3 linked regions of the Ovis aries genome follow. The protein of the gene in region 1 interacts with the protein of each later gene in a biochemical or structural test. Links are inferred from orthologs where the notes say so. Each region holds a gene or a part of one and is shown in the gene's direction. Other genes may lie near its edges.

Region 1 (3,640 bases):
GGCTCTGTTGGGGGGCCCGTGGCGTGTCGTCTGCACCTGCTTGTGGGTTTGTGCCATGCCCTGTGTGTGTACGCGTGTGTGCTCACGGACAGCCTGGCAGGCTGCATGCTCCCCCCCCACCCCACCGCCCTGTGTCTTCCCTCGTCCTTGCTCATTCATCCTCCTCTTTTCTCTCTCCCCTTCAGTCTCTGGCTCTCATTTGGCCTTCCTGACCTGCCGTGGGCCCGGCACCACCTGTGTGATCTCTGTTTTCAGGGCCTTTGTATACCTCCTCCCGCCTTACCCCCCTTAGCCATCCTGCACCGGCTCCTCTTAAATACCTGCCGTGCTTCAGTTTGTGGGACCGGCTGGAAGCCTCTCTGCCCCCACAAACTGCCTTGGCCCCGGGCTCTGGGGGAGCCCTCAGAGGGCCCAGTGGACTGTGTGGGGGGTGGGGGGTGGGGGTGACAGGGCACAGAGAGGCCTGGGGAGGGGAGGGGAGGGGTGTGACCCTCACCCAGGGAGCCGAAGACAGTGTGGGGCAGTCTGCCAGGGATCCAGGGTCTTTGGGAGCCCTGGAGAGTGTCCAGCCAGAGAGGGAGGGTTTAGGACCAGGCTTCTGGCCATGGTAGAGCAGGGAGGGCACCGGAGGAGAGGCCTCTGGGCCAGTGGAGGGGACTGGGCTCAGCCACGTCCTCGGGCTCCCAGAGCTGTTCCATCACTCTCGCCATGCCCTCCTGGGACTGGCAGGCCAGGCTTATAGGTCTGTTCCTCGCTTTGGCTGCAACCAAGGTCGTAGGCCAGCAGGGCACAGAAAGTGCCCAGGCGCCAAGAGCCACACTGCATCTGTCTGTGCCTGTTGGCCACTGGGCCCACGCCACCAGGCGCCTGGAGAACTTGCAGGGGAGAAGCTCTGCCCCCCCGCCCAGCTCCCAGCCCGCTCTCCAAGGGGAGGTGGACCTGGGGGGTGCTTGTAGCCTTCGGCCTCCCCAGCCAGGGGCTCCCTTCTGGAGGCCGAGTGCCAGGGTCTCTGAGGTTTGCGGGTTCGCTGGAGGGCCGTCCACCTTTTCCAGGGCCACTCTGGCCTCTGCTCCCACTGTGTAGCCTGCCTGACCGGGAGGCTCCTTGTCCATCAGGGGCCTGCTCTCTGGTCCCCAGCCCCTCTCCGGCCTGTCTCTGCAGCGCCTCTTCTGGGCAGCTGGGCCCAAGTCTCAGCTCCCATCTGTCTGTCTCCCACCCTCCCGCCCCCTAATGCCGCCTGCCCATCCTGGGGTGCCCGCTGCCTGCCCGCTGCCTGCCCGCCTGCCTGTAGCATGCCCAAGCTGTCCGCATGCAGGCTTCTGGAAAGAACCAACCTCCCCACCTGGCCCGGCCCCTGGCCCTGGAGCCCTGCCGGCCCCTGGAGGGGCTGGGTCACCTGGCTCCCTTCACCTGAAGGACACAGGTCCAGCCTGGGCTCCTGCCCTGGCCGCATTGGCCCCAGCTCTGCAGGCCAGGCCGGAGGCTTACAGAGTCTGCTGGCCAGAGGGCAGCCCTCCCTGACCCTGAAACAGAACAGGCAAGGCAGCTGGAAGCCTGGGTCTCTCACCCACTCTCCCCAGTTCAGCGTTGCCACTTTGTGGGGGTGGTGGCCCTGAGCCTCTTCCTGGGCAGAGTGGGGAGGAAGGGGCCCCAGGGTAGGGGCGGCCTACCTGCCCGAGGTCCACTGGCAGCCTCAGGGCCTCCTTTCTCTATCAGGGAATACTTGGGGTGAACCCTCAGCCTCTGGGGACCACCCCTTCCCCCACCAGCCCACTGCAAGCCCTTCCCAGTCATGGGGGCTGGGAGAAAGCACCCCGAGAGTGGTCTAGGATTGGGGCGCGCTCCGTGTCTGCCAGGGCTGGGGGCTGTGCCAGCCCACCTAAGGGATACCAGGGAGGGAAGGATGGGGGCACCAGGGCCTGCAGTTGGGGCCAGCCAGGAGCTAACCCCCTCCCCACCCCTGGTTCTCACCACCCCCCAGCCCTGCAGCTCCCACTGGCCAACGATGGGGGCAGCCGCTCACCGTCCTCCGAGAGCTCCCCGCAGCACCCCACGCCCCCCGCCCGGCCCCGCCACATGCTGGGGCTGCCATCAACCTTGTTCACACCCCGCAGCATGGAGAGGTGAGCCTCCTGGTGGATGGTCGGGAGGTCAGGGCGCGCAGGGCCAGCCTCAGGGTGGCACTGGTGAGCTCTGTGGAACCCTCTGCATGTTGGAGGCTGGGGTAACCTCACGTTGGTCAGGACCCCCCTCCACCGGCACTCCCTCCCTCTCCTTTCAGCATCGAGATTGACCAGAAGCTGCAGGAGATCATGAAGCAGACCGGCTACCTGACCATCGGGGGCCAGGTAACCTAACGCACTTCCCTTGGTGGCCCCAGGGAGGGTGGGCACGACACAGCTGGGAGATGTGGGCCAGGGGTGAGGGCAGAGGCCTGCTGGATCCCCAGCCCTGGCTCTCCTTGCCAGCGCTACCAGGCGGAGATCAACGACCTGGAGAACCTGGGGGAGATGGGCAGCGGCACGTGCGGCCAGGTGTGGAAGATGCGCTTCCGGAAGACAGGGCACGTCATCGCTGTCAAGGTGAGCCCACCCCACCCTGCCCATGGGAGCACAACCCCCTTCCATGTCCCATGGGGCCCCTGCGCCCCAGGCTCAGCGCTAAGCCCTCGGCTGTCCCATGCAGCAAATGCGGCGCTCGGGGAATAAGGAGGAGAACAAGAGGATCCTCATGGATTTGGATGTGGTGCTCAAGAGCCACGACTGCCCCTACATTGTGCAGTGCTTCGGGACTTTCATCACCAACGTGAGACGAGGGCTTCCCCCAACCCCCCCATCTCCTCCCCTGGGCCCTGAGCCTGTCGGGTGGGCAGAGGGGTACAGCCACTGCTGTCCCTGCAGACGGACGTCTTCATCGCCATGGAGCTCATGGGCACGTGCGCAGAGAAGCTCAAGAAGCGGATGCAGGGCCCCATCCCCGAGTGGATCCTGGGCAAGATGACGGTGGCGGTGAGTGGCCTGGAGGGCACAAGTGGGCAGGCAGGCGCCCCCCCAGCCTCGGCTTCCACGTCACCGATAAGTGCCCTCCCCTGCCTACACTGCAGATTGTGAAGGCGCTCTACTACCTGAAGGAGAAGCATGGCGTGATCCACCGTGACGTCAAGCCCTCCAACATCCTGCTGGACGAGCGAGGCCAGATCAAGCTTTGTGACTTCGGCATCAGCGGCCGCCTGGTCGACTCCAAAGCCAAAACGCGGAGCGCGGGCTGTGCCGCCTACATGGCAGTAAGTAGGGGGACCGGGGGTGCTGGCGGGAGGGGTGGTGCACCCACCCCGGGCCCAGGGCTCATTCATCACCCTCTCCCACCTCCCACCTGCAGCCTGAGCGCATCGACCCCCCGGATCCCACCAAGCCTGACTATGACATCCGGGCCGATGTGTGGAGCCTGGGCATCTCCTTGGTGAGTTGGGGCCCCGGCTTTTGGAGGCTGGGTTTTCTCGCGGCCCGGAGGCAGGGAGTGGCAGCAGAAAGGGCAGGGCCCCGTCCTCCCTGGCCGGCCCAGCCTTGCCCGTTTCTCTCCCAGGTGGAGCTGGCGACAGGACAGTTCCCCTACAAGAACTGCAAGACGGACTTTGAGGTCC
Region 2 (4,129 bases), about 4.5 Mb from region 1:
GCCCGCCTGGCTCGTGAACTGCTTTCCCAGGGAGATGGCGTGGTTGGCGGCTGTCCGAGCGCGCGGCCGCGCCTGGCGCACACGTGTAACTCCAGCACCAGCTAACTGGGGCCTTGAATTAGTGGAGGCCCCACCAAACCTCAGTTTACCCTTTTGCATCCTGCAGATAAGCATAGCCCATGCTTCCCGGGTTCTTGGGGATTCAATGAACCGTGATACGGAGAACCTGGGGCCAAGCGCGCGCTCCATACATTCAGCGCCCACTCCGGAGGGAATAAAAGCGGCCACCATCACAGTAAGCGCGCAAAGGTGGCAGCGCGTGGCTCACAGATGAACCGGCTCCCTTCGCCCTCTCTCGGGCTGGATTTCCCCCAACAGAGCCGCTGTGAGCAGGGGCAGTCAAACCTTGCAATGCCAGGCGCCTGCAGGGGGCGTGGAGCCTGCGAGGCCTAGCCACCTGCGCCTCCCACGCGCGCCCCACCCTGAAACTCGCGGGGTTGGAGAGGGGGCACCGGGTCTCGGCCCTGGGCTCTGCAGCCCCTGGTTCTGGGGAACTCGAGGCGACCTCCCAGACTACCAGGCGATATTTATCAAGTGTCTCTTGTGTACTCCACTTATTAGTTAATGTTTCCTGCAACCCAGTGAGGCCGGTGCGCATTGTCATAGGACGGGTGGGAACTCTGAGGCCGCTTTCGCAGCCTGCAATTTGGGGGATCTAGGCGGCCTCCTGCGACCACCACCGCGTGCTAGGCGCTTACTGTGCATCCCTCACTTTATTTAGGACTCTGCAATCTAATGAGGCCAACTTTGCATTCCCATTAGACAGATAAGGGCAGAAACGCCCAGAAAGTAAAGTCACCCAGGGGCTGGGGTCTCTGCAGCCTGGGGCTACCCCCCCCCCCCCCCCCCACCACCTAGGGATCGGGCTGCAGACTGGGCTCCCTCTCGGTGTAAAACTGCTGCAGAACCTGGAAAGACTCGGGCCGGGGACTCTCCGGGGACCGGGAGGGGATTCCAGGCCCCCCCCCTCGAAAGTCTGGGCCGCCTCGCGCGCTGGAAATCCCGCGCGCGCCCCGAAACGCGGCGCGGCTGCCGGGAAATAAGAGAAAACTTCTGCTTTTTTTTCTCTTTTCTGGCACTCAAGTTCCCCCCGGCTCCACCCCCACCCTCCCGGCGCCCTCCTCCCGGCTCTCGCCCCCACGTGGGGCACCCCCGCGCGGCGCCCCGCCCCCTCCCCGCCGCCGACCAACCGCAGCGCGAATTTCTCTCGCCTTTGTGTTTTGTCCAATCGGAGGGGCGAACGGGTCACTGGGGCCTCGCCCCCTAACCTCTTAGTCTATAAAAGGCTGTGCCTGCCGCCGCAAGCTCAGATCGCTGACGCCGAGCACTCGGATCTTTTGCAGTTGCTACTTGGATTATTCTTGCTGAGACACTTGCAATTTTTTCCGCCTTTTTTGGGGGTGGATTTCGCTGCCTTCCTAAGGTCTTGACGAACGCTTGGTCTCCGTGGGAAGGCTTTGGGCTTTCCAGCCTTGGATATTGCATTTTCTTCCTTGAACCTGTCGTGAGGCTGTTTTCCACTGTGGATTATAACTGCAACATGACACTGGAAGAGCTCGTGGCGTGCGACAACGCGGCGCAAAAGTAAGTAGTGGCGCCCCTGCCACCTGAGGTCAGGCTGGGCCGGGTGGGGAAGGGGCGCCCCGTGCCTGGCCTGATGCTGACCTCCGCTCTCCCTTGGCCCCAGGATGCAGACGGTGAGCGCCGCGGTGGAGGAGTTGCTGGTGGCCGCGCAGCGCCAGGACCGCCTCACCGTGGGGGTGTACGAGTCGGCCAAGCTGATGAATGTGTGAGTCAGACTCTGTCTCCCGGCTGGGCGCGGGTGGGGACCCTCTCCGCTCTGCAATCTCCCTCCTGCACTCCTGTCTTGCATGGGTCTGGGACACCCCCAAGTGTCCCCATTGTGGATTGGGGATCTTTCTGCCCTTTTTTTTTTTTTTGAGGCGTGGAGGCTGCAGTATGCTGGGGCTACATCACTTGCAAACAGTCGCCTGTTTATGTCCCTGACTTACCCCCCACCCACGCCCGGCCTTTGAACCGAGCGTCTTCTCCCCCACCCCAGCATCTGCTTGCAGATGCCATCCCCTGCACACCTGCAGTTGCTCTCTGCTTTTGCAAACTCCCCGCCGCACGAGAAGGGGGGCCCTTCCGAGTCCCCAGCTGACCCACCCATCCCCCTCTGGCCCCTCAGGGATCCTGATAGCGTGGTCCTGTGCCTCCTGGCCATCGACGAGGAAGAGGAGGACGACATCGCCCTGCAGATCCACTTTACGCTTATTCAGTCCTTCTGCTGCGACAACGACATCGACATCGTGCGGGTGTCGGGGATGCAGCGCCTGGCGCAGCTGCTGGGCGAGCCGGCCGAGACCCAGGGCACCACCGAGGCCCGGGACCTGCACTGTCTCCTGGTCACGGTGAGCAAACTGGGGCTCCGCCCTGCCCCACCCCCACCCGGCACCTGGGCCCGTGTTTGTCAACAAAGTGGAGCTGGCCGGTGTGCACCAGCTCAGCGTTCAGCCACGCTTGGCATGTCCCGTGGGCAACCTGCTAGCCTCCAGGCCTCTTCACCTAGCGAGTTATTTTGAGCCAGCCTGTTTTCCCCATGGGAGCCCTGGGAGAGGGACACTCCCCACCCACTCCTTGGGGCTCCTGCTGAACCCCCTCTTCTCGCCCTCCCACAGAACCCTCATACAGACACCTGGAAAAGCCACGGCCTGGTGGAGGTGGCCAGTTACTGCGAAGAAAGTAGGGGGAACAACCAGTGGGTTCCCTACATCTCCCTCCAGGAGCGCTGAGACCCCGCCGGGCATCGGAAACTCTTGCTGCCGAAAACACAAAACCACATAAATATTTGACCCCCCCTCCCTCCCAGAACAACCCCCCCAACAACCCAACCCGTGAGACCATCGGGGGCAGGATCGCTGGAGACTGAAGACAGGAGAGGGAGTGCGCGGCCGCCCCAGGGCGGGAAGCTTGGAGCCGGGGGCCAGCGGCGGCCACGGTGTGAGGAGAAGACAGGACCCGGGCCAGCAGGAGAGGGGACCCGGGAGCTCAGGCCTGGTGACAGAGCAGACGCAGGAGCCAGGGAGCTGCTTGCTTCCCCTACCAAGGAGGGCCTGGGCTCCACACTTCGGGGGTGGGGTGGGACTGACGACTGCAGCCCCCACCCTTCTTGAGACCCGAGCTGACATCTGCAAAAAAACGGGCCTTGGTTGGCCTAGGGTCGGCAGCCCGGCCCGGACAATAACTTTGGGACTTGGGAGCAGGGGCTCATGTTGCTCTGTACCCATGAACTCCCAGCTTGCAAACTCAGTATATTGACAATCTATTTTGTTACTTGCACTTGTTACTTGAACCACTGAAAGACAGAGGGGAAGCTTACAGATACATATATTTTTACTTCTACTATGATGCCTTGTAATAAATTTTTAAAGCTTCTGGGTTCTTGTGTATTTGCAGTCCCTGTGAGGGACCAGCCCCCACTACGCCCTCCCACCCCAGCAGTGTGCCCCTGCACCCCCTCCTGCAGGCTCACCAGGAAGTGTTACTTAAGTCCGAGTTAGCCGCTCCAGGCTCCTTGCAAAAACAGTGCCTCTTCTCTCTGCAGCCGGCGCCACCCAAGTCCAACAAATCTTTGCCTCTTTTTTTTCTTCTCCCCCCGTCCTGCCCCGTAGCAATTAAAAGACCGGTTTATTACGAAACCTGGCCGCCGTGTGGCTGCTGTTACTGGCGGTGCTGGAGCCAACCCCAGGTTCTGGGCACATGAAGACGCACCCCTGGGGGGCTGGCTGCAGCCCCTGCCTATTCAGCCGCCACCGCAGCGCAGCTCCAGAGAGGTCAAGGGGCCACCTGTGACCACACAGCGAGGTGGGCTTGGAGCTCAGAGCTGCCCCTGAGCTAGGGCCTAGCAGGAAGAACTTTGAGGATCTCCCAGAGGGCACCCCCCCACCCAAGCCTGCTCCATCCTAGGATGGGCCTCTTCACTCCACTGAAGAAAAAAAATTTTTTTTCATTCCTCAAACTTAAATCAACAAGCAGCAAAATACCCGAGGAAGTCGTGCTCCCGGCC
Region 3 (3,640 bases), on another chromosome or scaffold:
GGTGAGCAGGGCAGCAGGGTAGCGGTGGGTGTTGGGGAGCGGCACAGGAGGCGGGGGAGGGCAGGGGGGGCTGACCTGAGCCTCTGCCCCGCAGAGGCGCCCGTCCCCCTCGCGCCCACCGACACGGACCCCTGCGGGGCGCAGCCACCTGTGCGCCCAGGCTGCGACTCCGAAGGAAACCAGCCCGCAGGGCCCCTGGCACCTGGTGGGGCCTCCCCTTCCTCGGATCCGGGTATCGAGGCCGACCTGGGCAGCGGCTCCAGCGGAGGCCGCGGGGGCCGGCGCAGCAGCCAGGACCTGTCGTCCCCGGGCTCCGACTACGAGGACGTCGGGGGCGCGCGCCTAGGGCGCATGATCTCGTCTATCTCGGAGACCGAGCTGGAGCGGAGCAGTGACGACGGCAGCAGCAGCAGCGGCCGCTCCTCGCACCTCACCAACTCCATCGAGGAGGCCTCGTCGCCGGCCTCGGAGCCGGAGCCGGAGCCCGAGCCGCCCTGCGAGCCCCCGCGCCGCCCCGCCTTCCTGCCCGTGGGCCCCGAGGACACCAACAGCGAGTACGAGTCCGGGTCCGAGTCGGAGCCGGACCTCAGCGAGGACGCCGACTCGCCCTGGCTGCTCAGCAACCTCGTGAGCCGGATGATCTCCGAGGGCTCCTCGCCCATCCGCTGCCCCGGCCAGTGCCTGTCCCCCTCGCCGCGCCCTGCGGGGGAGCCTGCCTCACCCGCTGGCGAGGCCCCGGCGGCAGCGGCGGCGCCTGGCGGCGTGGAGCTGGTGGACATGGAGACGCTGTGTGGGCCGCCGCCGCCCGCGCCCCCCGCCCCTCGGCCCGGCCCTGCGCAGCCGGGGCCCTGCCTCTTCCTCAGCAACCCCACGCGCGACACCATCACCCCGCTGTGGGCCGCCCCAGGTCGCCCCGCCCGCCCAGGCCGTGCCTGCTCCGCTGCCTGCTCGGATGAGGACGACGATGAGGACGAAGAGGAGGAGGATGAAGCTGAGGCTAAGGCGGCGCCCCCCGGGGGCCGAGGAGCGGGCCCCGCGGCGCTGGACGCCTCGCTGGTGTACGACGCGGTCAAGTACACGCTGGTGGTGGACGAGCACACGCAGCTGGAGCTGGTGAGCCTGCGGCGCTGCGCCGGCCTGGGTGAGGACAGCGAGGACAGCGGAGGCGAGGCCAGCGAGGAGGAGGCAGGAGCCGTGCTGCTGGGTGGGGAGCAGGGCCCCGGGGACGCCTCCCCGGACAGCCCCGACCTCACCTTCTCCAAGAAGTTCCTCAACGTCTTTGTCAACAGCACCTCTCGGTCTTCCAGTGAGTGGGAAGGGGGAGGGGGTGGTTCCAGGGGAGCAGGCTGGCTCCTCGCCGGGGGCCGCAGATCAGCCCCCAAGAGCCAGGACAGCCTGAGGGTCTGCGGGTGGCCGGCGCTGGGCACTGCCCTCTTACCCAGCGCCTGCGTGGGGGCTTTCCCGGGCTACCCCCGCGTGGGGAGTGGCGAGGGGAGGCTGCTCTGTCTCCAGCCCCAGACAGGGCCAACCCACCCCAGGGGGCCGCGGGGAGGGGGCCCTGGCTGGCCTTCTAGCGCCTCCCTGAGCCTTCCTCTGTTTCTCTCTCTCAGGCACCGAGTCTTTCGGCCTTTTTTCGTGCCTGGTCAATGGGGAGGAGAGAGAGCAAACACACAGGGCTGTCTTCAGGTACAGGCACCCCCCTTGCTGGCGCTGACCCTCCACCCGAGTCTCAGACCCTCTGGGACCCTGGTGGGCACAGCCCAGCCCTCCTGCCCCTGCCCTAGTGATCTCCCACCTCTGACTCGCCCTCAGGTTCATTCCCCGCCATCCCGATGAGCTGGAGCTGGACGTGGATGACCCGGTGCTGGTGGAGGCTGAGGAGGACGACTTCTGGTTCCGTGGCTTCAACATGCGTACGGGCGAGCGCGGGGTCTTCCCTGCCTTCTACGCCCATGCGGTGCCAGGGCCTGCCAAGGACCTGCTGGGTGAGGCCCCTTCCCTAAGGGTCATTGTGTCACCCAGACCCTCTCTTGCTGGCCTAACCCAGGCCCCTTGTGGCCCTTAGGGAGCAAGCGGGGCCCCTGCTGGGTGGAGCGCTTCGACGTCCAGTTCCTGGGCTCCGTGGAGGTGCCTTGCCACCAGGGGAATGGCATCCTGTGTGCAGCCATGCAGAAGGTCAGTCTGGGGCTGGGGGTGGGGCGAGTGCTGCAGGCTGGCTCAGCCCTTGGAGGCCTCGAGCCTGGGACCCCCAGCGCTGATGGAGGGGCTGGCAGACAGGCCGAGGGCAGCGCCGTGGCTGTTCCCCGGCACCATCCCACTGACCTCCCCCTGCAGCCTGTCCTATTCGTGTCTGGAAGTCAAGACCAGCTCTCTCAGACCCTCCTCCGGGGGCTCACTGATAGTCCCTCAGTCGTGTCCGACTCTTTGCAGCCCCAGGCACTGTAGCCCGTCTGACTCCTCTGCCCATGGGATTCTCCAGGCAGGAACACGGGAGTGGTTGCCATTTCCTTCTCCAGGGCATCTGCCTGATCCAGGGATCGAACCCAGGTCTTCTGCATCGCAGGCGGATTCTTTACCACCTGAGCCACCGAGAATGCAATTTGCTCGCTCAGTATTCGCTCAGTGGCCGCTCAGGAGGGCCTGCCTGCCTGCCGGTCCTGAGACAGAGCCGGAGCAGCAGGGGGGCGGGGCAGCCCTGCCCCTACCCTCTCACGGGACGGGTGCTGAGGAGCCCGGGGCTGCAGTCCTGCAAAGGGCCGGGGAGAAGACGGGGCAGGCCACCCCGAGACCGCGGGGCGGCCAAGACCATGCTCATATCTTCCCGAATCAGGGCCACGGCTTTTCAGACCTAATTGAGAATGTTCCCCCAGGGGGGAAGCTGATGCTTGTAGGCCCCTGAGACCTTCTTCTCCTTGACTCTGCAGATTGCCACGGCCCGAAAACTGACCGTCCACCTGCGTCCTCCTGCCTCTTGTGACCTTGAGATCTCTCTCCGGGGTGTCAAGCTGAGTCTCAGCGGAGGCCCTGAGGTGGGGTGTGGGCCCTGAACCACCGAGGCGGCTGCAAAGGGCGGAGCAGGCGGATCAGAGCAGGCGTGTCTGGCGGGCTGGGCCACCTCTGCTAACCCTTCTGCCGTCTCTTCCAGTTCCAACACTGCAGCCACTTCTTCCAGATGAAGAACATCTCGTTCTGCGGCTGCCACCCCCGCAACAGCTGGTAAGAGGCTTCCCCTTCCCCTAGTCCCCTCAGGCCCCGAGGGCCGCCCACATGCAGTCCCGCCGTCCAGCAGCCCCACCCACTTGGCTCCATGAGGTGAGCCCCACATGGCGCCCGCTCTGTTCCGGGTCCGGGAGACATGGATCAGACAGGCTCCCATGTGGTCTGGGTGGGAAGACAGACACACAGTCAAGTAAGTGCTTGAAGCATCTCTAGGGATCCAGTGGACATCTCTCTGGGGCTCCAGCGAGCACAGAGGTGGCTGAATTCTCCTGGGACTTGGGGGGGGGGTGCAGTCGGAGACCACTCTATAAACCTCGAAAGACAGATGGGTGACAGGGTGGGTCTTCTTGGCATGGAGCCAGCTGAGCCAGGGCCAGGGGTGAGAGGCACTAGGGGGTCTTTAGGGGAGCCAGATGAGGCA

Evidence for each region.
Region 2: the proteins of MAP2K7 (region 1) and GADD45B form a complex in vitro, tested with the Homo sapiens proteins (2 studies listed by BioGRID and IntAct). The link is inferred for Ovis aries from reciprocal best matches to the Homo sapiens genes MAP2K7 and GADD45B.
Region 3: the proteins of MAP2K7 (region 1) and MAPK8IP2 form a complex in vitro, tested with the Homo sapiens proteins (2 studies listed by BioGRID). The link is inferred for Ovis aries from reciprocal best matches to the Homo sapiens genes MAP2K7 and MAPK8IP2.

What each region holds. Positions count from the first base shown.
Region 1 is NC_056058.1:14,400,354-14,403,993, forward strand, and holds part of MAP2K7 (dual specificity mitogen-activated protein kinase kinase 7), read left to right. Parts: intron 1-1,981; coding exon 1,982-2,123; intron 2,124-2,281; coding exon 2,282-2,348; intron 2,349-2,468; coding exon 2,469-2,582; intron 2,583-2,685; coding exon 2,686-2,805; intron 2,806-2,900; coding exon 2,901-3,008; intron 3,009-3,103; coding exon 3,104-3,283; intron 3,284-3,378; coding exon 3,379-3,459; intron 3,460-3,582; coding exon 3,583-3,640. UniProt on the Homo sapiens protein: Dual specificity protein kinase which acts as an essential component of the MAP kinase signal transduction pathway. Essential component of the stress-activated protein kinase/c-Jun N-terminal kinase (SAP/JNK) signaling pathway.
Region 2 is NC_056058.1:18,909,377-18,913,505, reverse strand, and holds GADD45B (growth arrest and DNA damage-inducible protein GADD45 beta), read left to right. Parts: upstream 1-1,368; 5' UTR 1,369-1,600; coding exon 1,601-1,644; intron 1,645-1,747; coding exon 1,748-1,849; intron 1,850-2,251; coding exon 2,252-2,474; intron 2,475-2,741; coding exon 2,742-2,855; 3' UTR 2,856-3,498; downstream 3,499-4,129.
Region 3 is NC_056056.1:225,852,363-225,856,002, forward strand, and holds part of MAPK8IP2 (C-Jun-amino-terminal kinase-interacting protein 2), read left to right. Parts: coding exon 1-1; intron 2-94; coding exon 95-1,306; intron 1,307-1,610; coding exon 1,611-1,686; intron 1,687-1,812; coding exon 1,813-1,985; intron 1,986-2,065; coding exon 2,066-2,175; intron 2,176-2,924; coding exon 2,925-3,029; intron 3,030-3,145; coding exon 3,146-3,216; intron 3,217-3,640. UniProt on the Homo sapiens protein: The JNK-interacting protein (JIP) group of scaffold proteins selectively mediates JNK signaling by aggregating specific components of the MAPK cascade to form a functional JNK signaling module.